Linked DNA regions of Sus scrofa. The protein of the gene in region 6 binds, or shares a complex with, the protein of the main gene of each other region. Links are inferred from orthologs where the notes say so. Each region holds a gene or a part of one and is shown on either strand. Other genes may lie near its edges.

The links.
Region 1: B9D2 (region 6) and TMEM107 share a complex: the UniProt entries of both Homo sapiens proteins name them as parts of the tectonic-like complex. The link is inferred for Sus scrofa from reciprocal best matches to the Homo sapiens genes B9D2 and TMEM107.
Region 2: B9D2 (region 6) and TMEM17 share a complex: the UniProt entries of both Homo sapiens proteins name them as parts of the tectonic-like complex. The link is inferred for Sus scrofa from reciprocal best matches to the Homo sapiens genes B9D2 and TMEM17.
Region 3: B9D2 (region 6) and TCTN1 share a complex: the UniProt entries of both Homo sapiens proteins name them as parts of the tectonic-like complex. The link is inferred for Sus scrofa from reciprocal best matches to the Homo sapiens genes B9D2 and TCTN1.
Region 4: B9D2 (region 6) and TMEM231 share a complex: the UniProt entries of both Homo sapiens proteins name them as parts of the tectonic-like complex. The link is inferred for Sus scrofa from reciprocal best matches to the Homo sapiens genes B9D2 and TMEM231.
Region 5: B9D2 (region 6) and TMEM67 share a complex: the UniProt entries of both Homo sapiens proteins name them as parts of the tectonic-like complex. The link is inferred for Sus scrofa from reciprocal best matches to the Homo sapiens genes B9D2 and TMEM67.
Region 7: B9D2 (region 6) and TMEM216 share a complex: the UniProt entries of both Homo sapiens proteins name them as parts of the tectonic-like complex. The link is inferred for Sus scrofa from reciprocal best matches to the Homo sapiens genes B9D2 and TMEM216.

The regions. Positions count from the first base shown.
Region 1 is NC_010454.4:53,394,255-53,398,499, reverse strand, and holds TMEM107 (transmembrane protein 107), read left to right. Parts: upstream 1-1,435; 5' UTR 1,436-1,579; coding exon 1,580-1,666; intron 1,667-1,835; coding exon 1,836-1,903; intron 1,904-2,005; coding exon 2,006-2,106; intron 2,107-2,855; coding exon 2,856-2,952; intron 2,953-3,176; coding exon 3,177-3,246; 3' UTR 3,247-4,000; downstream 4,001-4,245. UniProt on the Homo sapiens protein: Plays a role in cilia formation and embryonic patterning. Requires for normal Sonic hedgehog (Shh) signaling in the neural tube and acts in combination with GLI2 and GLI3 to pattern ventral and intermediate neuronal cell types.
Region 2 is NC_010445.4:79,414,334-79,418,568, reverse strand, and holds the start of TMEM17 (transmembrane protein 17), read right to left. Parts: upstream 2,803-4,235; 5' UTR 2,747-2,802; coding exon 2,647-2,746; intron 1-2,646. UniProt on the Homo sapiens protein: Transmembrane component of the tectonic-like complex, a complex localized at the transition zone of primary cilia and acting as a barrier that prevents diffusion of transmembrane proteins between the cilia and plasma membranes.
Region 3 is NC_010456.5:31,974,998-31,979,123, forward strand, and holds the start of TCTN1 (tectonic-1), read left to right. Parts: upstream 1-1,320; 5' UTR 1,321-1,387; coding exon 1,388-1,607; intron 1,608-4,126. UniProt on the Homo sapiens protein: Component of the tectonic-like complex, a complex localized at the transition zone of primary cilia and acting as a barrier that prevents diffusion of transmembrane proteins between the cilia and plasma membranes.
Region 4 is NC_010448.4:12,153,808-12,157,317, forward strand, and holds part of TMEM231 (transmembrane protein 231), read left to right. Parts: intron 1-1,833; coding exon 1,834-1,962; intron 1,963-2,306; coding exon 2,307-2,450; intron 2,451-3,510. UniProt on the Homo sapiens protein: Transmembrane component of the tectonic-like complex, a complex localized at the transition zone of primary cilia and acting as a barrier that prevents diffusion of transmembrane proteins between the cilia and plasma membranes.
Region 5 is NC_010446.5:42,893,077-42,896,586, reverse strand, and holds part of TMEM67 (meckelin), read left to right. Parts: intron 1-602; coding exon 603-702; intron 703-797; coding exon 798-937; intron 938-2,504; coding exon 2,505-2,645; intron 2,646-3,510. UniProt on the Homo sapiens protein: Required for ciliary structure and function. Part of the tectonic-like complex which is required for tissue-specific ciliogenesis and may regulate ciliary membrane composition.
Region 6 is NC_010448.4:49,355,615-49,359,812, reverse strand, and holds the start of B9D2 (B9 domain-containing protein 2), read left to right. Parts: upstream 1-1,392; 5' UTR 1,393-1,633; intron 1,634-2,063; 5' UTR 2,064-2,067; coding exon 2,068-2,155; intron 2,156-4,198. UniProt on the Homo sapiens protein: Component of the tectonic-like complex, a complex localized at the transition zone of primary cilia and acting as a barrier that prevents diffusion of transmembrane proteins between the cilia and plasma membranes.
Region 7 is NC_010444.4:10,119,461-10,123,599, forward strand, and holds the start of TMEM216 (transmembrane protein 216), read right to left. Parts: upstream 2,801-4,139; 5' UTR 2,178-2,800; coding exon 2,141-2,177; exon of another isoform or gene 2,127-2,140; intron 1,485-2,126; coding exon 1,383-1,484; intron 807-1,382; exon of another isoform or gene 701-806; intron 582-700; coding exon 489-581; intron 1-488. UniProt on the Homo sapiens protein: Part of the tectonic-like complex which is required for tissue-specific ciliogenesis and may regulate ciliary membrane composition.

The DNA.
Region 1 (4,245 bases), on a different chromosome or scaffold from region 6:
ACACACACACACACACACACACACACACACACACACACACACACACACACACGAAAGCCTATTTGTGGCCTGTCAAACATTCCACATCTGCTTTAATTGTTATAGAAACAGGCACAGGAACCAGAAGAAAAGAATACCCATTGTTAAAAATAATGTGCCCTCTTCCTGGGGTGCCAGTGCTGGCACTCCCTGGATGATAAGACTCCCTTCCCAGGTGCCAAGGACATACTAACTCACTGCGTAGGTGCTGGCCTGTTCTTTTTTTTTTTTTTTCAATCTTGAAGAATTGCAGCCCCGACTTGTTTAATATTCTTTGTTCTGACAGGATATAATACAGTGCTGGAAATCATGCATCTTCTGAGCAGTTTCTAAGAGTGATATGGGAAGCAGATTCAGGGCTACTCAGTAGTTTGGCTCAAATGAAATTTTCTTCAATTCTTATTTTAGATCCTTTATTGATTATTATCATTGGCAACGGGAAGAAGAGCGATGATCCGGTAAGAGGGTAGGGAGGTCCCTGTGAGGTTGTGCATATGAGAAATGAACTCCGGCCAGAACTTTCCGTTCTGCCTGGAACCCTTTTGAGGCCCAAAGGTCAGGGAGGTCGCTGATAGTGAGAGATGCTTGGATAGTAGCTGGGCAAAGTCAAGTGCCCACGCCTCAAAGAGATAAGGAAATCCTTGCAGAGTCTGCATCGACACCCTCGCTCCTGGCCTCCCGGGGACGCAAGGTCTCATTCCCTGCCTCCACCCCCATCCCCAGCCCTTTCTGGTCCTCTTTGTTCCCTCTCTTCCCCAAACACACTTCTTGGGGCACACCCTAGTCCAAGAGAGCGGGCCACTTTCCGCGATGTGCAAATCCCTCACCAGTCTGAGCAAAGGTGTCTGGGGCGTGAGGGAGGGGGAACTAGAATCAACGAAGGTGCAGGTATGGGGTCCTCCAACGACCAGGGGCTCTGGGACAACAAGTGGCAGCCGGACAACATAGGCACATCCACCTCTCCACGTTCGGCCCAGGGCACGTGGGAGCTAAAGGAATGCGGAGGAGGGAAGGAGAGAGAGCATCCAGGCCTCAGGCACAGACAGCCGTGTCCGGAGGTTCATCCGGGACAACGCAGCAGGGGTTGGGGGTCGGGCTGCACCCGGCGTGGGCATCCGGAGAAGGGGGGGGTCCCAGGCTAGGCCCGGAGGGTTTCCGTTCGCCGGCGCTGCGCGGGCAGACTGGACGATGCAGGGCAGCGCCACCGCACACTCGGTGCTGACCGCTCGGCTGCTAGTGACCAGGCAACGGATAATCGGCCTCCCGCCGGAATCAAGTACGACGCAACCTGACTTGCAGTCCCGCGACGGCACGCAGCTGCTTGACAGTTTAATGCTCTCGCGAGATTTTCAGAGATCCGGTCGCAGCACCAGCTACCGCAGTTACCAAGGCAACTGGGCGGTGCCAGCGCGAGCGGGAAGGAGGCGAACGTCGAATTTTTGTCTGCTAGCCTAGGAGACTTGAGGACTGGCCCTCCCCGAGTTTCCAGCCCTAGAAACCCCGGCCTCTGCTCCAGGCAGTACCCCGTCCCCTGGGGGCCATGAGCCGGGTCTCGGGGCTCGTGCCCTCTCGCTTCCTGACGCTCCTGGCGCATCTGGTGGTCGTCATCACCTTATTCTGGTCCAGGGTAAGACCCACGGCCCCGCTCCGTTAGTCCACGCTCCCACCTTGGAGTGGTCCTGGCCCCACTCTACGCCTCTCCCCGGGGGCTTACCCGGTCGGGTGCTCCCCCCCCCGCCCCCACCCCGCCACCGCCGCCCCTCTCTCAACTTCTTTCTTTCTGCCCTGCTCCTCAGGACAGCAACATCCAGGCCTGCCTGCCTCTCACGTTCACCCCTGAGGAGTATGAGAAGCAGGATATTCAGTGAGCACCTGGGGCAGGGTGGTCAGAATTAAGCAGTCGTGGAAGTGAAGGGGTCTTAGAAAAAGTTCAAGAGGCCTAAGCCCACACCCTTCCTTTCTGCAGGCTGGTGGCAGCGCTTTCTGTCACCCTGGGCCTCTTTGCAGTGGAGCTGGTCGGTTTCTTCTCAGGAGTTTCCATGTTCAACAGCACCCAGAGCCTCATCTGTATCCTTTCTTCCGTGCACCTTTCCTGCACCGGCCATTTTCATCACAGCTCCTCTCCGCCACCTAACTAGGCCTTTCTGGTACATTGGTGTTTGTTCTAGTAGGCAAACAGAGTCCCTCCAGTTGAGAAATCTTCTTAGGCACTGTGGGAGATTTAATACAATCTTTGGGCATCTGTTAAGCTCCTGCTATACATCAGTCACTGGAGATCTCAAAATGGGAGTAAAACACAATTTTCTACCTTGAGGAAGAGTTAGACACAGACAGACATCTGTAATTCCGTGTGATAAGCACTGTGCCACGGGATGTGTAAAGATATGAAGCTTGTGGGGACACAGACGAGACAGAGGACGTGAGGGAGATGGATTAGGGAAGGCTTTGGTACTTGAATTGTGGTCAGGGAGGACCAGGGTGCTGGAAAGTGATTCCAGCAGAGAGTAAAAGGTCACAGAGTGCTTGGAACAGATGGGGAGGCTACTACCTCACCTGAACGGTCCAGGCTAGATATGGGGTGGGGGTTGCTTAAGGTCCCAGCTGTGCAGACTCAGCTCCTCTACTCACATGGCTGCCCTAAAACTCAGGATTCAGGGCTGCTGGCTCTGGCCTTTGCAGTGTGGTAAGAGGAGCAAGAGGTGCCCCGCTTCCTAGGATGTAAACCTGAATGTAGATGCCAGCCCCCAAACCGGCCTTTTCTGACCCATTACTACCTATTGATCCAAAGGATTTCCTTGACTCTAGTGTGTTCCAAGCCATTGGGGCTCACTGTAGTGCATCTGTGGCCCTGTCCTTTTTCATATTTGAGCGTTGGGAATGCACCACGTACTGGTACATTTTTGTCTTCTGCAGGTACGGTAGCACCCAATGTTTGGGCATGGGAAAGCAACATTAACTCTAAATCTGAAGATTTCCCTCACCCAGCTCTTTACTCCATGTATAAAATATCAGATCCACTCAACATCCTTTTTTGAAGTCCCCTCCCTCCTACATTTGGGGGTGGTATCTCTGGCTTGGGGATTTGGATTTTTTTATTGGATGAAGGGGACCCCGAAACCACCACCTATCTTCCGCAGTGCCCTCCCAGCCGTCACTGAAATAGCGTTATTCATCAGCGTCTTTGGGCTGAAAAAGAAACCTTTCTGATACCTTCATGACCGGAAGTACGGATGAAGGCTGGAAGAGCGAGGGATCGCTCACCGTTCCTGGAAGAAGGAAGTCAGAGGCTCCAGCTCTTCCTCCAAAACTGCGTCATGGAGGGTATCAGTGTAATAGTAATTATCTCTCGAGTCTGAAATTATGTGTGCTTTGCTTATAGTTCTTTGTAATAAATATATTTTTAGAATATGATCGACTTATAAAAATTTCAGATGAAAATTGGGGTGGCCAAAGTGATGGCTGTTTTCTAGGCCTGCGGACTGTAAAATAGTATATTCGCTTTTATTTTGGTTATTACGGTAGAAGTCTGGCGGGAGGGTGGGCGGGGATATGTAAATAAGGCGGTACTTACGGGTGGGACACCCGGCTGGTAAGTGAGTGGAGCATTCTGGGAGGAATTAGCTTATCCATTTTTGATAGCCAAATGGAAAAACTTATTTTAAAACATTTGGAAATAAATGTACCAAAATATACAGAAGAACCCAAGTAGGCTTAGTTGCTCGGACCAACGCAGTGTTTACTCATCCTATCTTTGAGAGGAATCTTTTTCCCAGAGTGCGGAATGTCACGCTAAACGTTCTTATCGTCAGGTAGGATAATCCTTACCTGTTCCTCCTTCGGGAGGGCAGAATGGAAAATGATGATTGGAGCTCGCATGATTCGTGATTAACGGCTCTGCGTAATCAGGACTTGCAACACCCTGATTGCTCCTATCTGATTCTTCCTGACGATCAGCGCTTTTTATCAGAGTCTTCACGGTTAGAAAGCTGTTGTTGTAGGGAAGACGTTGTACTTCCTATTTCTTGCTAGTACTTTCTTTTCAATTGTGGCTCTTGTCGCGGATGTTAGTGTAGTGCTAACTCCTCAAATCCCTTCTGCCGCGGAGCAGGCTTCCTTTTTAGTCTCAATGGCTGCAGTTTCCACCGGAAGGTTGGTCCAGGTTCTGAATCCACTCAGTAGTCTGCAGGGAACTCCCTGCTGCTGCTG
Region 2 (4,235 bases), on a different chromosome or scaffold from region 6:
AGCCCCCCTACAAGGCAGCTCTGTGGCACAACTGATAGTACATTGGATTTTTAATGGATAAGCAATGAGGTCCTACTGTATTGCACAGGGAAATATATCTGGTCTCTAGGGATAGACCATGATGGAAGATATGAAAAGGAATGTGTGTGTGTGTGTGTGTGTGTGTGTATATATGTATATATATTTATATATATGTGTATATATATATATATGACTGGGTCACTTTGCTATACAGCAGAAATTTGGCACAACACTCTAAATCAACTATCCTTTGTTTTTTTAAAAAGGAAAAAATATAAAAAGACTTTATAAATTAGAAACAAATGAGCCCTACAAATGCATCCTAAATTTGACTAAAAATTCTAACAATTTAAGAACAGATAACATACTTTGAAATCCACAGTTCTAAAAGAATGGATTTACAAAGACTAAATTTTTTTTTTTTTTTTTTTAGGGCTGCCATAGGAAGTTCTCATGCTAGGGATCAAATCGGAGCTATAGCCACTGGCCTACACCACAGACACAGCAACTCGGGATCTGATCGAGTCTGGGACCTACCCCACAGCTCATGGCAACACTAGATCCTTAATCCACTGAGCGAGGCCAGGGATAGAACCCGCATCCTCATGGACCCTAGTTGGGTTCGTTAACTGCTGAAGGCTCTAAAATTTCTTAAAAGTATATTTTTATTTTTCTCTATAGCTGAGTATTTTATATCTATCATTTAACAATTTTAAAATGTAAAATAATCACAGTCTCTCATAGCAAGGTTTTCTTTAGCTCCAAGAATATCCCTCGTTATTATGATCTACTTTTTAAACATTGTGTGATTATGATCTACTTTTGCTTGTACTTATTGATTAAATTGCCACTGATCAAGGCATGCATTCTTAAAATCTGTTAAATCTGAAGATAACTCACCTGCCTAGGATTTTTTTTCATAACAACCATACAACTCTTGGTCAGCTGTGGACAAGGTCATAATATACCCTTGTATTTACAGTACAAATAATCGAACCTATTTCAGATCCACAAAGAGGAAAATGTGGAAAAATATGATAAATTAGTTAAGCTGAAAATTTTAATAACTTTAGAGCAAACACTGTAGTCAAATTTTGCAAAGAAGTTATTATGTTAAGAATTTTGTACACAAGCCTCTTAAGAGTTATGCTATGTCTATATTTCAGAGATCAAACTTATAATCATGCAGTTGAAAATCAAGTTAATATGTAAATGAACTTTGAAAGCAAGCACAAGACATGAATTTACTAAATTTTGCAAAAGTACAAGTTGAGTTCTATAAATGGAATTTAAATTAAAACATTTTATAGTATAAATCAGGGGTAGGCAGACTACCAGCCAGCTGCCTGTTTTTGTATAGCAAGTGAGCTAAAAATGGTTTTTTCACATTTTTAAATGGCTGAGAAAAAATATCAAAGAATAATATTTTGCGACACTGAAAATCATAGGAAATTCAAATTTTAGCATCCATAAATAAAGTTTTATTGGAACACTGCCAAGTCCATTCAATTACCATCATCTATGGCTGCTACATGCATCTATGGCCTGCAAGGTCTCAAATATTTACTATCTGGCCCTTTACAGAAAACCCCTGATACTTTACATCATCAGATTTTAGTGCCTGTTAAGCTTTAGAATCAGAAATGTAAAAGTCAATTTTTTTTTCACATTATGTTTTTCTCTGTACATCCTAAATCATGGAGGCTTAAATTGGAGGGACAGGCTAGTAATCAGCGTGGAAAATGAAACTATGGGAACAGACTTCTCTCTGCCTCCTTAAAAAAAAAAAAAAAAAAAAAAAAAAAATCCCTAAACCAAGCAAAAGGAAAAGATTTCTATTTCCCAGCACAGTTCAGTGATAAAAAGCGCACGGGTTTGGTTCACAGTATGTTGTCTATCATCATGATTTAAGAGGGGGAAACTGCAGGAAACTGCGTTGTCACTTGTCATGTTGAATGTAGCATCATGGTATTCTGTTACTTGATTTAGGGCAAGAGTTATATATAGGGAAGGAGAAGAAAGCAGGGAGAGGGTGAGTTTTGTTGGAGACGATGCTAGTGTGGCAGCTGCCACTCTGAATTGGATAGCGTTTAAAATAGTTCATTAAAACAAAAACAAAAACTTTTCATGCTTTCTGCCAGAAAACGGACTTGTGGTGGAACATACTTGTTCTGGTAGAAAAGAAAAAAAGGAAAAGATATTTTACTGGGGTTGGGGGTGGGGTGGGACGGGGAGATTGCCTGGGCTGTTTTCACTCCATCCTGGACATAATATGCCAGGGCGGATGCCGCAGAGGAAAAGCAAAGTCGGCCTTCTCAGCCTTCTCGGAGGGCGCGGGACTGGACGCGGAATGCGAAGGCGGGTTTTGTTCTTGTATTTTTTGAGGAAGGCTGGCGCCACGTCGGCCGCCCCTCTTGCAATTCGCCCGCGAGGCTACAGCACCATCAGCCGAAGACCGCCTGGGTATTTGGCCCCGAATATCTGGTCCTAGCCCCAGCCCCAGGCCCAGCCCCTCCTCCAAGGAGCCTCCCGCACTGCGGTGAACTCTCTGAAGACGAAACCGCCATCTTTGGTCTGGGCAAAATCTGGCCGCTCCACGCGCTGCGCTGAGCCTCGGCCACTCACCCGGACCCTCGCTATACTCCGGCCCGGTCCGGTTGGAGTCGCTGAACACGGTCCGGCTGAAGTTTCCCAGCCGCTGGCGGACCGGATCCGGCAGCTCCATGCTCAGGCCTCAGTACTGCTCCCACCTGGGTCTTCGGGCACCGTGGCGCTTTGAGGTTCCCACAGCAACCGGGCCGCGCGAGGCTGGGGGCTGGGGCGCACGCGCGGCCCCGCTGCGGGCTGAGGCGCCAGGCAGCCCTGGAAGATAGAGGAGTGCAGGGAGCCAGTTCCTGCCCAGCGCCTCAGCATGATGCCAAACCGCAGATTCCTAAGTCCTGCTTTAACGGCCACCATTTTAAAAAAGGAATAAAAATAATAATTAGTGACTAGAGTTGGATTGTGATACAAGGAGCTCTAAGACCTTGCCAGTGGGATACAATCTTTCTGGGAGAAAATATAGAATGAATGCTGAGTTAACAGACTGTTCATGACCCAGTAGCTTGTGTGTGTGTGTGTGTGTGTGTGTGTGTGTGTGTGTGTGTGTGATATTATTACATCCTAGGAATATTTTTTAATATATGCATGCCGTATGTATACAGACACATATGTATGTATACACATACATACTCTCTTATAGGAATACGTTATATATTAGGAATATTATATATATATACATAGCATATATATACGATACACATATATATTGGGTGAAATACATTGAAGCAGTTTAAAAGCATGTTTGCAATGAATATTTAATGATGGGTTAACTTTAAATTAAAAAAAACCAGAAGTAAAACTAAGTAGGAATGAACCTAATTTAGTAAAATGTGTGTGTGTAAATATATGGGGAGCAGAGAGGGGGAGAAGATGGCACAAGCACTGTGGCTTCAAAAGAAGACTAGAAGAAAATAATCCAAAATGTTAGTAGTAATGTCTAGATAGTGATTGTGGGTGATTTAAAAAATTTAAAATAGGAATTCCTGTTGTGGCTCGGGGGTTTAAGAACCCAACATAGTCTCTGTGAGGATGTGGGTTGGGACCCTGGCCTTGGTTGGTTAGAGATCCGGAGTTGCTGTGGCATAGGCCTGCAGCTGCAGCTCCAATTAGACCCCTAGCCAGGAAACTTCCATATGTCACAGGTGTTGCTATAAAAAGAAAAAAAAATTTAACCACTTAGTATTTTTCTAGCTTTCCCTCAAATAAGATGTATCGTTTCAGACAGACAGACAAACAAACAAACAGACAAACTGGTTAGGTACAATTATGTACAGAAAAGTGTACAAACTGAATATACAGGTGTAACAAGAACCCAGATCAAGAAATGTAACTTTGGAGTTTCAGTTGTGGCACAGTGGAAACAAATCCCACTAGGAACCACGAGGTTGCGGGTTCAATTCCTGGCCTTGCTTAGGATCTGGTGTTGCCTTGAGCTGTGGTGTTGGTTGCAGATGCGGCTTGGATCCTGTGTTGCTGTGGCATAGGCCTTCAGCTGTAGCTCGGATTGGACTCCTAGCCTGGGAGCCTCCATATGCCATGGGTGTGGCCCTAAAAAGCAAAGAAAAAGAAAAAAAAAAAAAGAAACTTAACTTTACCAGTACCCTCAGAAGCTC
Region 3 (4,126 bases), on a different chromosome or scaffold from region 6:
TAATTATTTTGACAAAAATGTCAAAAGTATACCCAACATTCTTGGGCTGGAATACTTCTATAAATAATGCAGTTTAGAACCAAGGGGCTTCCCCTAGTCTGGTCTTCCCATTTTGTAGAGTTACAGTAGATTTGCTTTGTTTTTTTCCTTTTAAGACATAAATCATTACATGCAATTTTTTTTTTTTTTGGTCTTTTTGCTATTTCCTGGGCCGCTCCCGTGGCATATGGAGGTTCCCAGGCTAGGGGTCTAATCGGAGCTGTAGCCACCGGCCTACGCCAGAGCCACAGCAACACGGGATCCGAGCCGCATCTGCAACCTACACCACAACTCACAGTAACGCCGGATCCTTAACCCACTGAGCAAGGGCAGGGACTGAACCCGCAACCTCATGGTTCCTAGTCGGATTTATTAACCACTGCGCCACGACGGGAACTCCCATTACATGCAATTTTTGTCGATTTTTTTTTGTCTGTAAAAAAGTCAAGTGCTCACCTGCCCCCCTTATCACAACATGGTGAAGAGAAGTTATCTGGCCATCTCCTGGAACACAGCCCTTAGAGGTAGGTGATATCCTTGTCATACAGATGAGAAAACCATGGCTCAGAGAGCCTAAGTGGGTTAAGACCAAAATGGCAAAGCAAGTGTGGACAGGTGTGAAATAGAGAAAATTCAAGGATGGTGATGTGATCTCTGTGCTTCAAAATACCCTATTTAGTAGCTTTAGGACAGCAGTTCCCCAAATTTCTGTCCCTCCACTGGTAGCACTGGAACATTTGTTAAAAATATTGCTCTCTGGGGAGATCCCCTTGTGACTCAGCAGGTTACCAACCCCATGAATATCCATGAAGATGCGGGTTCCATCCCTGGCCTTGCTCAGTGGGTTAAGGATCCAGTGTTGCTGTGGTTGTGGTGTAGGCCAGCAGCTGCGGTTCCAATTCGACTCCTAGCGGGGGAACTTCTACATGCCCCCGGTGCTGCCATAAAAAGCAAAAAAAAAAAAAAAAAATTGACCTCTGGACTATGCTCTGGGCTTATTGAGTCAGAATCCTCTGAGCTGGAACCTGGACATCCGCATTTTTTTAAACAAGCACTGCAGTCCGCTTGGAAACTTCATCGGTTATTCACAAGCCCTAGGTCTCCACCGACTTCACGAAGAACGGTGGTCCCCATCCCTCATCCCCGCCCCTCGATCCAGCCCCTTGAGGCTGGTCTAGCCCCGCCCCGCCCACTGTCCTCTCGGCCCGCCCTGCCCAGGCCCCGCCCTCCACCTTCGCTGTCTCTTGCGGCTTTGCGCGACCCTTCCCGTGATGCCTCGCGTCCGGCAGCCACGGTTGCTAAGCAACGCGAGGTTGTCAGCCTTGGCTTTGCGTGGTTCAGCTGGGCGATGGGGCCACGGGGCCTCCCGCCGCTCCTGCTAGTGTTCCTGGGTTGCTGGGCATCTGTGAACGCCCAGGCCGGGGCCACCCCTGTGGTGACTACGGAGGGCTTCAACTCTACGGAGCCGGCCCCGACGACTCTCCTACCCACCTTATCACCTAGGCCCCCTGAGACTCCCAGGGGCCCCAGGCCCTCCTCCGGCCCCAGGCCTACCCCGGTCACGGACGGTGGGTACCAAGTGCCAATTCCGGGGGACCTGCATTGTTCCAACCTGGAGAGGGTAGCCTGGGTGAGGTTGTGATAATAATGATAGTTAACATTTATTGAACACTTACTGTATGTAGGCATTGCTAAGTGTTTCGTAGGCATTAATTTAACAACCCCTAGGTAGATGTTATTATCACTGTTAGGCAAATGAGAAAACTGAGACTCAGAGAAAAATCTTTGAAAGTATTTGCAGTGGTCCTGGATAACATTAACTCTAAAGGTAATAATGAATGTAGTTTTCTAGAAGAACATGAAATTAAATTGGAATTTTCTAGACAATTGTGGAAATTAAGCGCATAGGATATGTTGAACTTTTTGCTTATCAAAAAGAGGGGGAGGGGTAGTTCCCATTGTGGCTCAGCGGTTAAGAACCTGACTAGTATCCATCAGGTTGATCCCTGGCCTCGCTCAGTGGGTTAAGTTTCCTGCATTCTGCACAAGCTGCTGCCTAGGTCAGTATGCAACTTGGATCTGGCTTTGCTGTGGGGTAGTCCGGCAGCTGCTGCTCCAGTTTTACCCCTAGCCTGGGAACTTCATATGCTGCAGCTGTGGCCCTAAAAAAGAAAAAAAAGAAAGGGGTATGGGAAATGTCTCTTTTACTGAAAGTGACTAGGTTAAGGCCTGTGTCTGTTGACTTAAATTGTGAAAAACCAGGATTCCTCTTGTGTTGAGTTGGAGGTGAGAAGGTTATGCCCAGTTCTTAGGATTCATCTTTAGGGATAATTAAAATATTTCTCAGAAAGTGATCTAAACCTTGAGTTATACATTTAGCGACTAATCAGATTTGGCAGGGATGACTTCAGGGGATTTCTGTGACTCCCAGACTGAGTGCAGACTTTTTTGAACATGAATTTTTCCAGGGTGAGGGTTCATAGCAGTAGGTAGTCTCTCAAAGAAGTTTGTGATTGAAAAAAAAAAACAAAACACTGTAAATTTTCTGTAACTCAATAGCAATGCAGTATTTTTTATCCCTTCTTAAGAGAAAGAGATCTTTTCCTAAATTGAGTAAGACGATATTTTGTAAGGAGAAGAGTCATCATTGGTTGATGTCCTGAACTCTAGGACTTAACTTCAGTTACTGAACCATTTCTCCTTTATAAATTATGAGTGGTCTGTAAGAAAAAACACAGAGAGATATACCTGCTTTTCAATATAAACAAAGTGTTGTTTTTGAAAGCTGCTGATTTGGTGAATTAGTAGAGAAGTTAAGTGATACTGCACTACAGCAGACTACAGCAGAGTATTAAATACCCAAAATTCTCTGAGATTTTTTGGGCCGAGTTTCCTTTTAATGCACTTTCTCCCCGAAATGAAGCTATTCTTGACCCATCATTAATAGGGCATGAGTTCAGGGCGTTTTTCCGATGTGGGAAGTTGAATTTGCACTTTCCATCAGCTTTTTAATGGGCCTCTCTTTAGACCTATATAGGTAGTGATAATAAATGACAGCTGATATTTATTAACTGCTTACTGTGTAGCAGGCCTTATGCTAAGCATTTCATCTGTGATGTATCCTTTTTAATACTCATAACAGCTTTATGTTGCAGGGTTATACCCATTTTTCAGGTTGGTGAATTACTTGCCTGATTTTATTTATTTATTTATTTTTTATTTTTTTTTGTCTTTTGTCTTTTTGTTGTTGTTGTTGCTATTTCTTGGGCCGCTCCCGAGGCATATGGAGGTTCCCAGGCTAGGGGTTGAATCGGAGCTGTAGCCACCGGCCTATGCCAGAGCCACAGCAACGCGGGATCCGAGCCGCGTCTGCAGTCTACACCACAGCTCACGGCAACGCCGGACCGTTAACCCACTGAGCAAGGGCAGGGACCGAACCCGCAACCTCATGGTTCTAGTCGGATTCGTTAACCACTGTGCCACGATGGGAACTCCTACTTGCCTGATTTTAGGTCACACTCCTGATATGTGAAAACTGAGGAGAGAAACTGGGCAGCTGTTTGCAGAATGGGTTACAGGTGGAAGAGAAGGATGTTGACTTTCATCTTGGATCTGAGCTCTATTCATTAGTACCCTGCTCTAGGAGCCAAGCGTATAGACATGAAGAGGCTTGAAAGAGCAGCTGAGTGCTACTTAAACCCCACAAGTGCTCAACAGATGCTTGTTGGCTGATTAAGTACACTCACATCTTGAATAGAGACCCTTTTTCCCCCTAAGTAGTTATTAAACACTATTGCTTTGTCCCTAGTAGTCTTATAGCTACCTACCTACAAGGGTTTTAAGTTATGGAAAACAATTCAAGAGTAATTTTGAACACAAAAGGCAGGGTGCCTTAACACTCCTTATTTTTTTATTTTTTGGCAGCCCCACAGGATGTGGAGTTCCTGGGCTAGGAATCAGATCCCAGCCACAGTTACGACCTCCCCCAGAGCCAGGTCAACACCAGATCCTTTAACCCATGGTCTTGGGCTAGGGATTGAACCCACATCCTGGCACTGCAAAGACACCACTGATCTCTTTGCACCAC
Region 4 (3,510 bases), about 37 Mb from region 6:
TCCTGCTGAGTCTGTTTGAGGAATGCATTATGATTAGGATGTTTCTTCTGTTTTAAAAAGTTGACTTCTAGGAGTTCCCGTCGTGGCGCAGTGGTTAACGAATCCGACTAGGAACCATGAGGTTGCAGGTTCGGTCCCTGGCCTTGCTCAGTGGGTTAAGGATCCGGCATTGCCGTGAGCTGTGGTGTAGGTTGCAGACGCTGCTCAGATCCTGCGTTGCTGTGGCTCTGGCGTAGGCCGGTGGCTGCTGCTCTGATTAGACCCGTAGCCTGGGAACCTCCATATGCCACAGGAGCGGCCCTAGAAAAGGCAAAAAGACAAAAAAAAAAAATTAAAAAGTTGACTTCTAGAGAAATAGAAATCAGTTCTGATGTGCTGTTGAAATGTTCCATATAAACTCAGGCCTGTTTCCCAGGAAAACACCACCAGCCAAACAAACAAGCAAAAAAGATCAAATGAGACAACAAAAAACAAAAAATGCATCCAGGGAGTTCTCTGATGGCCTAGCAGGTTAAGGCTCCTCCGTTCTCACCACTGTGGCTCTGGTCACTGCTGTGTGGTGCAGGTTCAATCCCTGGGCCAGGAACTTCCACATGCTGCCTATGCAGCAAAAAAGAAAAACAAAAACAAGAGAGAACTTGAAATAAACATTGCAAGAATTCCCGTCGTGGCACAGTGGTTAACGAATCCAACTAGGAACCATGAGGTTGCGGGTTTGATCCCTGGCCTTGCTCGGTGGGTTAAGGATCCGGGGTTGCTGTGAGCTGTGGTGTAGGTCACAGACGCGGCTCGGATCCTGCGTTGCTGTGGCTCTGGCGTAGGCCAGCGGCTACAGCTCTGATTAGACTCCTAGCCTGGGAACCTCTATATGCTGCAGGAGCGGCCCAAAGAAATAGCAAAAAGATTAAAAAAAAAAGAAAGAAAGAAAGAAAGAAACATTGCAACTGTCATTAAAAAAGAAAAGAGAAGAAATAGCAACAACAACAACAAAAGACAAAAAAAAAAAAAAAAAAAAAAAAAGAGGGGAGTTCCCATCATGGCTCAGCAGTTAACGAACCTGGCTCAGATCTTGTGTTGCTGGGGCTCCGGTGTAAGCCAGCAGCTACAGCTCTAATTCAACCCCTAGTCTGGGAATCCCCATATGCAGTGAGTGCGGCATTTTTAAAAAAAATTTTTAAAAAATTTTTAAAAAATTTAAAATTAAAAAATTAAAAATTTAAAATTAAAAAATTTAAAAAAATTTTAAAAAAATTTAAAAAAAATTTTAAAAAATTTTAAAAAAAAATTTAAAAAAAAAATTTTAAAGTAAAAAGAAAAAGAGGGAGTTCCCGTCATTGCTCAGTGGTAACGAACCCAACTGGTATCTATGAGGGCGCAGTTTCAATTCCTTGCCTTGCTCCGTAGGTTAAGGATCCAGCTTTGCTGTGGCTCTGGCATAGGCTGGCAGCTGCAGCTCCAATTAGACCCCTAGCCTGGGACCCTCCATATGCTGCTGGTGCAGCCCTGAAAAGAAACAAAACGAAACAAATGGAAGGAAAAGAAAAATGCATCCAGATGTTTTCATTGTTCTACTGCCACATCCGGTTCCCTGTAAGTTGGTCCCAGAGTTATCTGAGAAGTGCCAGCATGCAGCTCAGGGGCCATGCACACGTGTCTCTTTCCTCGGTACCGATTTATGTTTCCGTGTGTCTGGATTTATGTTTGTCTTCTCTTTCTTGAGGGAGACAGTGCCTGTGTGTGGCAGAACTGCATCACTGCGTGTGCCCATCAGTGAGATGGGGTCCTCCCAGCCTTATTAAGGACCAGGGTCCCGGCCTTTTTTGCATTTCCTAGACTAGAGAAGAAGACAGGAACCAGGATGGGAAGATGGACGTGTTACATTTTAAACTGGAGCTTCCCCTGCGGTCCACGGAGCATGTCCTTGGTGTGCAGCTCATCTTGACCTTCTCCTACCAACTACACGTGAGTCACTTCCTTGGAGAAGCTCGTCCTCTCCCTTCTGTCTTTCAAAGGAACAGAACCCTCCCCCCTTCTGTCTTCCAGGAACACCCACCCTGCAGAAGGCTCTTTTTCGGAGGCGGTGTTCGGATTTTAACTGCTTGAGTTACATTTGAATGGTTTTCATTGAGGTCATATTAATTTCCATGCACGATGCACAGCTCAGAGGGCTCGAGGCCGAGTGCTTCCTCCGTGGCTAAGCTGGGGACAGGAGGGACAGCCAGGGACAGCCAGGACAGACAGTGACACGCAGAGCCTAGAGCCCTTTGGATCTGACCAGAAGGGATCTTCTCTTCTCATGATTTCAGAGGATGTCGACCTTTATGATGCAGAGCATGGCGTTTCTCCAGGCCTCCTTCGCGGTTCCGGGGTCCCAGTTATATGTGAACGGAGACCTGAGGCTGCAGCAGAGGCAGCCTCTAAGCTACCGCGGCCTAGACGTGCGATACAACGTAAGGAGGCTCCTCGCCGCCCATCTCTCATTTCTGTATGTCAGTGTTTCTCAAGGTCTCGGACGAGGAAGAAAGGAAAGCTGGGAAATGGCATCTCTCTGTGGGTGGCACAGCAAAGGATTGCCGAGGAATTCTTGCCACACATCCTTTCCAAACATGGAGACAGGGAGTTCCTGATGCGGGGCAGTGGGTCAAGAATCCAACGGCAGCGGCTCCGGTCACAGCAGAGGCCCAGATTCAGTGCCTGGCCGGGCACAGTGGCTTCAAGGAGCTGGCATTGCCACAGCTGTAGTGTAGGTTGCAGCTGCCACTTGGATTCACTCCCGGCCCAGCAGCTTCCATGTGCCACATTTTTTTAAAAAAATGTAGATACTTACCCCTGAATTTATATCTGAAAGGAGACGGAGGGAAAATCTGATTTTGTCTTTATCTAAGAACTGAATTGTCTATACTTTTTGGTTGTGTGTGCGCAAACACACACACACACACACACACACACACGTGTGCGTGCGGTGTATTCCAGGAAGTCTTTTCCAGTGCATGCAAAACATTTGAAGAAGAATACCAGCCTCCCTTTGTCAAGCATATAACACATGCCAGCCCTGAGTTAAGAGGTTTAAATCTATCATCTTATTTAATCCTCACAACCTCCCTACGAGATGCCCTCTCTTACAGTTTCCCAGCTCTCTAGCCACTTGTCCCATCATTGTGCCCTTGGCTCCTCTCTAGCCAGACTGGCCTTTTTGCCCTTCTTCAGGCCACACAGCAGCTCTTGCCTCAGGGTTGTTGTACTTAACTCTTCCTCTGCCACGGATCCACGGTGCCTATTCTGCCGCTCCACCCTGGGCCCCGCTCAAACCCCTGAGCACAGTCCTTTTGATGCTCCATCGAAAGGGCATTCACAGAGTTCCCATTGTGGCTCAGTGGAAATGAATTTGACCAGCATCCATGAGGACGCAGGTTCAGTCCCCGGTCTCGCTCCATGGGTTAAGGATCCGGCATCACCACGAGCTATGGTGTAGGTCGCAGGTGCGGCTCACATCAGGCGCTGCTGTGGCTG
Region 5 (3,510 bases), on a different chromosome or scaffold from region 6:
TGGTGGATCTCATCCAGTTGTGGTTGTTAAGAGCCTGCTGTCCCCACTGATCTGTGAGCTTCATGAAGAGAGGAATCATCCCATACTTAGATTTTTATCCTTTGTTTGATCAGTAACGCTCCAACTAGGACAGTGCCTCAGTTTAAATGTATTCCATACATGAAAAATGTGTTTTTAATCAGAACTGTCAATACCAGAAATAGAAAAAATTAATTACGGTAAGCAAATTATAGTTGAAAATACCTTTACTTATAAAGAAGTTATGTGATCTAGAAAACAAAACATGCTTTTGGAAGCCATGAGAAAGAGTCTGCGCAAGATTCCTGTGTGAGGGGAAGGCAGTGTGTCTCCTTTCATATCCCCATTTCAGAGAAACACAGAAGAAGGAACGGTGAATCAATATGTGTATAAAAATCCTGTGAACTTAGTGATTCCATGCTATTTGATGAGCTTCCGGTGATTCCAAATGATGTTGTAGCCTTATCACTTGCGAAAATTACATATTCTTGTGCTTACAGCATGTTTGTTTCTTAAAGCATCAGAGTTTGTTTCATAACAGGCTTAATGTAGATACTTTTCCGTGTTTTGTTTGTCATTCTCAGGCTCTGCAGTTTTTGCATAAGCTCTTCTCCCAGATCACCATAGACATATTCTTCATCGATTGGGAGCGACCTAAAGGGAAGATTCTTAAAGCCGTTGAAGGTAATGGAAGTAGCCATTTGTACCAGAATTCTTTTGCTACCCCTGTAGTGCAAAGAAGGTGAAACCCTTTTTACTCATTCTATCTCCTCAACTAGGTGAGGGTGGTGTTCGGAGTGCTACTGTTCCCGTGAGCATATGGAGAACATATTTTGTAGCAAATGAATGGAATGAAATTCAGACTGTGAGAAAAATTAACCCACTCTTTCAAGTACTTACCGTCCTCTTCCTTTTGGAGGTATAAACTGTTTGATGTAATTGTGTGCAACTTCTGGGTACCTTATAAATGTTAATTTAATATAATTCCAGCTAAGTTTTCATGCCAGTGGAAGAGTTTTCTAAAAGTTAAACTATTTTGTCAAGTCATTAAAAAGTGCACATAACATGAAATTTACCATCTTAATTAATCATCTTTAAGTATACAGTTCAATACTGTTAAGTACATTCCTACTGTTGTGCAGTCTCCAGAACTCTTTTCATTTTGCCAAACAAAAACTCTACCTATTAAACAACTCCCTCTTCTCCCCTGTCCCCAGCCCCTGGCAACTGCCATTCTGCTTTCCGTCTTTTTGAATTTGACTACGCTAGGTAAGGAGTGGCTTTTAAACCATTGGTTTGTAGCAGACCCCCCTGGAGAGCTTTTGCAGAATACCTATGCCTCACCTCACCCTCAGAGATATGTTCGATTTAGTAGCTCTGTCGTGAGCCCAGGTATCTGTATTTCAAGAACTGCCCCCCACCATGATTCATATTTTCACTCCTGTATTAGAACCACTATTAAAAGGTTTTCTAATAAAGTTATCGTCGAACACTGACTATGGACTGTGTTTTGTGTGAAGAGCTGAGGCTACAGCTTAGTGAGACACAGTGAATGGGTACATGCTTCTGAGCCCTTTACAGTTATTCCATGGGTCTGAGTAGAATTTCTAAAGGAAGTAATCAGTATTGAATATCAGAGTGAAATAAGGAAACTGTTTGTATGGGTAACAGGTTTTCTCAAGAATTAGCTGCTTACGTTAGATGTGAATTATTAACTCATAAATCTATCTGTCTGCCTTCCTTTTTCCTTCCTATCCTCTTTCCTCCTCCTTTTCCTTTTTTTAAAACTAAAAGAACGTGTGTGTCCTTAGGACATATGAACACTATCTCAAAAATTCATTTATAGTAGTGTTTTTAAAGCTTTAAAAGGTGTTATGTGAGAAAGAAGTTTTATAGTCTAGTAAGTTTGGAAAACACTGGATTCAGTAAAGTCCTGTACATTCCTTTACCATAAAACCTCCCAGAGTCTTTAGGGTAGAAGGCATGGAGGTGAGTGAATATAATACACAGACCAGACTTTCTTTTATTGAAGATGGTATCTTCCTCAAAAGATGCTTTGGAAAATATAGTTTTACAGTATAAAAATATTTTGCATAGTGCCTGGCATATGCTAAAAATTCATGAAATGCTGGTTGTTCATAGGTAGTTTACTGAAGAAAGCTTTACTCTTTTGACAGAAATTTTTGAGCTTTGTCGGTGTATATGATAATAAGGTTATATTTGGTCTTTAGCCTTGTTGAAGAGAATACTAAATGAACTAGCTAAATATTTTCTATCACATACTTTGTAATTAAAATACAGGATAATTATTTTCATCTAGATTTTCAACTGATTATACGAACTTTGAATACTTAAGTTTTTCAGCTAAAGGAAAGGGAGGAATAAGGAGTAGGGAGTTGAGAGGATTGTTTCATTTTCAGACCAGAGGAGTTTTCTTTATCCATGTCTGTTTAAATTATTAGTTTTTTTTTTTTTTTTTATTTCAGGTTGTGGGATTCAAGAACTTAGCATTAATGGACTCATCCTCTAGTCTTTCCAGAAGCCCACCTAGCTACATAGCTCCTTACAGCCGCATTTTGAGATATGCAGTGTCTACTGTTCTTTGGCTAGTCATTGGAATTATACAGGTAACAAGAGAGTATACTTTTGAGCAATATTGCCTCTATGTATTTTTAATTCTGTTTACATACTAATCCTCAAATATTGACTACAACATGACTTCTGTAGCATTAAGAAGATGACAAGAACAACAACAATTATGGCTAATAGCTAGTTCTTACATGGTGTGATAATCTAAACACTGTGTTAATTAATTGCATTACACAGATTGACCTAATCTTTGCAGTAGCCCTCAGAGATAGATTCTTTGAGTATCCTCATTTTACAGATGAGGATGCTGAGGCAAAGAAAGGTTAAATATTTGCCTAAAACCATGCAAGTAGAAATTGGTGGAACTGGAATTTGAACGTAGGCAATCTGATTTCAGAGTTCATTTTTATCAGTAGTGGGGCTCGGAAGAGTCTTTCAGAGTCTGCAGCTTTCTAGTCACAGGATTAATTTATAAATGATAGGAATTTCTAAGGTACCCTTAGTCTTTTCTTTGGAAATATAACTTATTGTCTAGCATTTATTTACATATCATTAAACCTCACTCACATTACCAGTACTCCTCCTGAAATCTTCTTTGAAATATTTATTGGAATAGCTGAAACTAAAAATAAATCTTCTCAGATCGTATGACTCTAGTAGAGAATCTTTTCTATGCTTACTTCTGTTATCTTCTTAAAGCTTTAAAAAAAGAAAAAAAAAAGAGAAGGGAATGAAAAGAAGAAAAGAAAGAAGCAGCAGCTATAGCACTTAACTTGAATTTCTGCACTTCTTTCTCTTGTTTACAGATACATCCATGAGTGGGTGGAAAGAGCCCTTCTGTTTGGTTAAAATTTCTTTAACTTTTTAATAAGCAAGGGAAGATGAGACCTCTAGGAAGAGCAG
Region 6 (4,198 bases):
GTTGCCCCTTCCTTAATAACTTTGAGCTAGTGACTCTGACTTTTTTGTGTGTGTCTTTTTAGGGCCACACCCACAGCATATGGAAGTTCCCAGGCTAGGGTTCAAATTGGAGCTGTAGCCCCCGGCCTACGCCACAGCCACACCAACTTGGGATCCAAGCAGCATCTGTGACTCATACCACAGCTCACGGCAGCACCGGATCCTCAACCCACTGAGCAAGGCCAGGGATTGAATCCACGTTCTCATGGATACTAATCAGATTTGTTTCCGCTGAGCCATGATGGGAACTCCTGGTGACTCTACCTTTTGCAGTAGCTGTTTTGCTAAAAAGTAGGGGAATAAGTTCCTTTTGGACTTCCTGCCTGGGCTGAAGGAATAAGGCACAGGACTAAGGTTCAACTGGACTTAGTGGGTGGGGAAGGCACTACTCAGGAAATCAGTAGGTGTGAATCCCTCTCAGTCACTCCCCTGGCGCCTGTTACATGGATGGGATGACTGAGAAATGGGGCCATGCAAGGTCACAAGCTACTGACTGAGGTCAGAACCGGATTTTCTGCAGATAAACGGCCTCAGTTCCTCATTTCTCATACCCGTCCTTGGAGCCCCACACCCACCTCCTTGCTCAGAATCACTAACTTCACCAGTCAGTGAAGAACTGGGCAGTATTTCTGAGAAGGGAGTTGGATTTATAAGTCCTTGAAGAACTTAGGAGAACTTTCAAAAGGAAGGGAAACCCCCTCCCCAACTTCTCTGAATTTTTTTTTTTTCTCCAATTATAAGGCAGGAGGTTATACACAATGATCTGAGGGAAATTCCCCCTTGGCTCTGGCTCAAGTCTCTGACTTGTGGTTCCAGTTGGGAGAGAGATTTAGGGGACAAGGAGAACTTAAGGATTTGCTTCTTCTTCTTTTTTTTTTTTTTTTTTTTTTCTTTTTTGCGCTCCCGTAGCAAGCAGAAGTTCCCAGCCAGGGACCAAACGCCTGCCACATCGGTGACAACAAAGGATGGATCCTTAACCCGCTGCACCACCAGGGAACTCTCACTGGATTTGCATATTCTGTTAAGAGAGTATCTGGGTATGGAGTTTCGGTGAGGAACAGGTTAAGGATCCGGCGTTGTTACTGCAGAGGCCTGGGTCGCTACTGTAGAGCGACCCCTGGCCCGGGAACTCCCGCTTGCTACCGGCATGGCCAAAAAAAGAAAGAGAATATCTGGGAGAAAACAGCGCTCAAACGTCCTCAGCCACACCCAAGATGGCAACAGCACCGCCACGCCGCAAATGGCGGAACCTTGGCTAGAAGTTGGAAGAGACGGCTTTCCCAAAATGGAGAGGGAGGGGAGAAAATGTCCATCACGTATTAGTCCCGCCCCACAGACTCCTAAGGCCAATTAGCGACCTGCAGGGCGGGTGCAAGGCCAGGGGAGGAGGCTGCTGTTGTCCCAGCAACAACCAGGGAACCCGGAGGCGGGCGAGTCCTAAGAGGGATTAGTGCCTCAGATCTCTCGCTGTACGGAAGGGGGAGGCGCGAGCCAGGCCTGGGGAGTCAGCACCCGCGGAAAGAGAGACAGGTCAGGCTACGAACTCCAATCCTCGCCGGCGCTTTCACGCCTCTTAACCGTTAGGGGCTCTGAGGTAGGAAAAACGCATGCGCTGGCTCAGAGGCGGGGCTAAGGTCGCCTTGCACTTAAAACGCATGCGCCTGATGAACCTGGGGAGGGGTGGGGGAATCCGAGGGGCGGAGGCGGGGTTTTTGTGCTTGTGGGCGGAGCCATGGGCCCCTTGGGCCGGACTTTCCGCTACACTGAGCTAGAGGAAGAGGTTATTTTGAAGGCAGAGTTAGGTGCCAGCTCCTCAGCTCGTCCATTTTTCACCTCTCTTTTTTCGAGGACTTTCCTGGAGAGGCATTTGGTATTATGGTTAAGCGGCCTCAGTAGTTTGACAAAACTCACTTGGGATCCCAAGTACTGCTCCTTACTTAGTGGGCCTCAGTTTTCCCATCTATTAGGTGGAGATAATAGTACACTTTTCTCACCAAGCTGTGATTATATTTTTCCCCTCTCAGGGCCATGGCTGAGGTGCACGTGATTGGGCAGATCATGGGGGCCACCGGTTTCTCGGAAAGTAGCCTCTTCTGCAAGTGGGGCGTCCACACAGGTATTCCCCGACATGGCTCATTTCCCCACCAGAACCCCTCAGCCTAGACCCTTCACCCTCAGTCCCTGATCCTCAGCTTGCATCGGCTTTCAGAACTCAAACCCTGACCACCTCTGTTCATGCGAATCTCAGGCTTCTTTCTTATCCCTTCCCATCCCATCTCTGAGGACCATGGCTCCCGCTCTCTCACAGCCCCTAAGGAGAGGGGACACTGGGCTAGACACATACCCATCCCCAACCCTCAAAACACTTGATAGCCCTAAGGACACTGTTTGGACTTTATTCATTGTCTTAGCGGTATCCTCGGTGGCTCCTCCGTCTTAATTCTTTCCTTAACAGTCTCTATTTATTCTTTTTATTTTATTTTATTTTATTTTTTAATTTTATTTTTTATTTTTTGTCTTTTTTTGCTATTTCTTGGGCCGCTCCCTCGGCATATGGAGGTTCCCAGGCTAGGGGTCCAGTCGGAGCTATAGCCACCGGCCTACGCCAGAGCCACAGCAACACGGGATCCGAGCCGCGTCTGCAACCTACACCACAGCTCACGGCAACGCCAGATCCTTAACCCTCTGAGCAAGGGCAGGGACCGAACCCGCAACCTCGTGGTTCCTAGTCGGATTCGTTAACCACTGTGCCACGACGGGAACTCCTATTTATTCTTGATGTAAAATAGAAGTTTCCATCTCGGAATTGCGAGGAGAGGCCACCCTACCGTATTCATTTTTCTCTGAGAATGTAGGAACCTCGTTGTGGCTGTCATCCAGGTTCATCCGCGCAGGCCCAAGAGGGACCATGGAGGCCCCAGTTTTCATGCCCTTCATCGGAGATAGTGTGATGGGATGGTGTGGTGGTTAGGGCCATAGGCCACCGAGTCTGGGCTCAAGTAGAAACTCCCTTACCTATTAATTGGGAACCTTTGGACTTGACCTTTCTGACCTTCAGTTTCCTTGTCTGAAAATGAAGCTAATAACATCTAAGAGGTAGCAGAGTGCTGAGGTTAAAAGCACAGAATGCCGGGATCAGCTCTGATTCAACTCCTAGCCTGGGAACCTCCACATGCTGCGGGTGCGGCCCTAAAAAAAAAAAAAAGACAAAAAATAAAAAAGTAAAAGCACAGAATGCCTGGGTTCAAAACTGGGGCTTGCTTATTAATTACGTGGCCTTGGGCACTTGTCTAGACCTCGGCTTCCCTTCTGTACAATGGAAATAATAACACTGTTTACCTCATGGGCTTGTTGTGAGAACTAAATAAACATCCACAGCACTTAGAAGAGGGCCTTTCTTGCAAGTGCTCAGTAAGTGTTTGCCTGGCCTTTGTGAAAACTGGATGGGGGCTTGTTTGTAAAGTCCTAGGTATGTTGCCTAGCACAAATAAATGCCCACGAAATGAGTGTGGCCACTGCCATCATCATCCTTTCAGGCTTGGGGTCCTTTGTAATTTCACTGGTGGGCAGGGTGGTTCAGATTCCCTGGGAAATTGGGGTCCTTCCAGCTGAGTAGATAAGAAGTGGGCTCTGAGAGTTCCTGCTGTGGTGTAGCGGGTTGAGAATCAGGCTGCAGGAGTTCCCCCTGTGGCACAGCAGAAACGAATCTGACTAGTAACCATGAGGTTGCGGGTTCAATCCCTGGCCTCACCCAGTGGGTTAAGGATCCAGCGCTGCCGTGAGTTGTGGTGTAGGTCACAGACACGGTTGGATCCCAGGTTGGTGTGGCTGTGGTGTAGGCTGGCAGCTGTAGCTCCGATTGGACCCTAGTCTGGGAACCTCCATATGCCGTGGGTGTGGCCCTAAAAAGTAAAAACAACAAATAAAAGAACAGACTGCAGCAGCTAGGGTTGCTGCGGAGGCACTGCTTCCATCCCCATCTTAGCAGAGTGTATGCAAGAATCCAAGGCACAGCCATGGTGTAGGTCACAGCTGAGGCTCGGATTCAGTCCCTGGCCTGGGAACTTCCATGTGCTGCAGGTATGGCCATTAAAAATAGAACAACAGGAGTTCCCATCATGGCTCGGTGGTTAACGAATCCGACTAGGAACCATGAGGT
Region 7 (4,139 bases), on a different chromosome or scaffold from region 6:
TGAACCTCTTTTTGTTGAAGTTATTTTTTTCCCTCAGTGTATGTTTTAACACCGTTTTCAGGGATGAGGTAACTCATGAGGGATTGCTCTGTACCTCCGGGGATGTAAACTTGTCCTAGAGAAATCCTTTTTCAGAGAACCGGAGGGGACCTTATTGCTGATCTACTGCCCTGGACATGGAGTTACAACGAAATCTCTTCTCCCAAGAAACCAGTGAGAGGAACCAGGCACTCCTGTAGTTAGATAATCGGGAAGGAATGATCTAATATCTCATGCCGCCACCCACCTGTGGCGCAACAGAGCAATAGACAGGTAAGTCTTGACCCCAAGTATGAAGCCGCCTGAAACTTCAGAGAGGGTGTAACGGGATATGCCACCAGATCCACTCTCTCATTGTGAGCCAAGGTTAAGTGCTTTTCTTTGTTCATCAAGTTACAGATACCAGCTCATCTCGCAAGGAATGGAAATAGCCTCTGGACAACACTCACCAAAAAACAGTCGAATTGCTTCAATGCCAAGATAAAGGAAGAGCATCACCACATCCAGGACCAGATTGGCTGTTGGATATGGTAGCAGGAGACCTGCGATACAAAAGCCAGAGTTTGCAAACAACGTCGAACAGCACACACAAGGTCTCCCACTCACTTGGGAATAAAGAGAACATGAGTCTTATCATGTTCTCTTCCCATGAGCTACTTACTGAGATACGGGCAGGATCCGTTAACTCATGGTGCGGCTATGTCTGTTAGAGGCAGGCTCGTAATTATGGGCTTTTACTCCTAACTCCAAGAGTCTGTGGGGCTCTACTGCATATGGAATGGATGGGTGGTCAGTGGGGACCTGCTATTTATAGCACAGGGAACTCTACTCAGTATTCTGTGATAACCTACATGGGAAAAGAATCTGGAAAGGAATGGAGATGTGGATATGTGTAAATGAATCACTCTGTTGTACAGCAGAAATTATCGCAACATTGCAAATCAATTTATAGTTGCAATCACTATACTTCAATAAAACCTTAAAAAAAAAAAAGATTCTGTGGGGACGCCACTCTCCAGTTATCAGATCAGATGTACACGGATATACGGCGCTGAATAGCTTCTGAGGGTCACCAATGGGCTTAAAGTGGAGTTCAGCAAAGAGAGGTGACAGGGGAGAGTCAGAAGGGAGAAGCCCCCATTTCCCAAACTCAAGAAATTCTTGCTGAGTGGCTTCCTACTGAATCATTCTCAAGGAAGCCATCTGATGAAGAGACCTTGCAGTGAAGAAGAGCTGCAGGGGAGCAGAAAAGAATGAAAAAATAAGGCTTTGGGTGGGAGCTGGCTCTGGGCTGAAGTGGGGAAGGGATGTTGGGGAAAGGGTAGTTAAACCCCAGACCTTACCTTTATACAGAAATATGAAGAGTTCCAGCAGGAAATAGGTAGCATAATACCACCCGTTCAGAAAGAAGAGGATTTCCAGGGGGGTGGAAGATAACCGTTTACCTGAAAATAGGAGCACAGAGAAAAGAGACGGGCTGGAGGGCAGGCAGCTCAACCCCAGTTATTTGAATGGTTCTGTGTCTAACTTGGAGGAAACAGGAGGCCGCAGCTGGTGGAAAGGGCCACTGGCGGCACTTCTGATTGTTGATGAGAAGGTGTCTGTGTGGTGTGTGTGTGTGTGTGTGTGCACGCGCGTGTGCGTACGGAGTGTGGAGGGGTTTCAGCTGACAGAAAGGGTCCCTGGGGGCACTTCTGTTTGCTGATGAGGAGTGAGTGTGTGTGTGTGTTTCCTTCAATCTCCTCCTTTCCAGAATCGCCATCAAACTCTACCGCTTCGGCTTTGGGGGTGAAAGTCAGGGATCTAACCTCGTCGCTATTTAGGAAGGAAAACTGGGACCCAGAGACAGCACTGGCCAGTGTGAAGCCACGCTGCAAATTCCTATTGAGCCGGCCTAGAACAGGCTGAGCCAAGGATTTGGGGGTATTTGAGACCCACATCTCGAGACCTTCTGGCACTCAGGGTAGGTGAGGCTGCTAAACCCTGCTGTGGACAAGTGAGGAGAATGGAGGGTTCAGGTCGACGCTGGGAGAGGAGGGCGGGGTGGGGGGGGAAACTGAAGGGATCAGGACCAGCAACTCACACACCTCCAGAACCTCACCTCGCGGCGCCATCTTCAGTCCCCATGGAAACTGCATACGCGGCTACAGCACTCCTGGAGCAGCGAGGCGTTGCCGGAAGCGAGGGACGGAGCGGCCCTGGATTCGGGCCCTTCTATCCGCCTGCTGCACTCGATGGTTACCTGGGGCCGGGGGCACTCTTGTGACGGCCACGCCTGCGCCGGGAGGAGCGCGGGCCGCGAACCGACTTCGCTGGGGTTTTGGCAGAGGACTGATAAGAAAGCAGATGATGTCGTCTGCAGGACTCCGAGGGCGGGGCAGTTTTCGCCCCGCCCCCATCCCAAATTTACCAGGAATTGTTCGAAGCAGCCAGTAGTGGTAATGTGATCAGAGTTGGTGAATAGGCCCTGGTCCCATGGTTTCTTTACTAACATGGGTCTTAAAATGAGAAATAGTGTGCGCGACAGTGCGCTGCAAATGCGGCGTGGAGTTTGGGGATCCTTTGTGTAAACAGTCTTTTTCTGAGGGGAGGGGATGCGGGGGTAGGGTTTTTCTATGCATCTGATTTATGTACCAGGGAGTTAGAAGATACCAAAGTTGGAGTTTCCCTTGTGGCTCAGCGGAAAGGAACCTGACTGGTATCTATGAGGATGCAAGTTGGATCCTTGGCCTTGCTCAGTGGGTTAAGGATCCAGCGCTGTGGTTAACTGTGGTGTAGGTTGCAGACGTGGCCAGGATCCCAGGTTGCTGTGGCATAGACTGGCAGCTACAGCTTCAATTCGACCCCCAGCCTGGGAACATCCATGTGCCACGGCTGCGGCCCTAAAAACTAAAAAGACAAACAAAATAAAAAAAATAAAAAGAAGAAGAAGAAGGTACCAAAGTTAGTCGGAACTGGAGGCTCCTTTCAAGGAGCATAAATAAGAGCAAAAGATGAAATATAATCAGCACTTGACCCCAATGTGCAGTGGCAGTTGAGAAGACAAAGTACTCTCGGTAGGGGTTGGGAGACGTTTCCAAGACATGGCCTGTAAACTGGGCTTTGAAACTTGTTATGATTTGGAGCAGTAAAAATGTGTTACCCCACAGGGCAGGGGACTAGGAAGAAGGGTTGTTTTTTGCTTTTTTAAAATTTTGTTTATTGTAGTTGATACAATGTTCTGTCAATTTCTGCTGTACAGTAAAGTGACCCAGTTACACATATACATACATTCTTTTTCTTACATTTTCCTCCATCATGTTCCATCACAGGAAGAAGGGGTTTGAATGGACTCAGGGTGACATAGGGGTTAGCCCACTGTCAGGAAGGGTAGGACAGGAAAAAGATGTCACACTTGTAGACTTTTAAAAAATGCGCAATGTGAGAATTGTGAGTTAAATTTTTGGGCCGTCAAAGTGAGGACTATAGCCTGGGAGGCAGCATTTCAGATAGCTCTGGAAAAAAAAATGCTCCAAAAAAGTGGGGGCAATGCCAGTATATATGTGATTTTGGTGAAAGGGGTGGTACAATTTAGCAGAAAGTTACTCTCCTTTGGTGAAGTTTCCCGCTAGTCATGAGGAGCAGGCATCACCATGAAGGATTTTAGCGCTTTTCTAGATATGAGGAGATGCCAGGATTGGGTTCATAAAGTCTTCTCCCCAAAACACCTATCTGAAGACCTGTTTCTTCCAGTTTTTTTGGGGGGGACACAGCCACATCCATGAAATACATCTGCTTTCATGTAATAGGCTTTCATGCTTTCAGGCTGAGTCGTTGCATCACTTGTTAGGACTATATGGCTCACAGGCTTAAATATTTACAATCTGGCCCTTTAAGTAAAATTTTGCTGACTCCTGTCATAGACAGCAAGGAGTAGCTCCCATCGGTGCTAAAAATAGGCAATAAGATTGAAATAACAAACACAGGAGCATCATTGTGGCATCCTGGTTCCCTGGTACCCAGGGCCTATGAGTAACACAATGAGCTTGAGTTCGGCAGTGAGAGACCTTGGTTCTTATCTTCCTTGGGGGAAGAATTCAGCAAGGTGACCAAGACCGTGA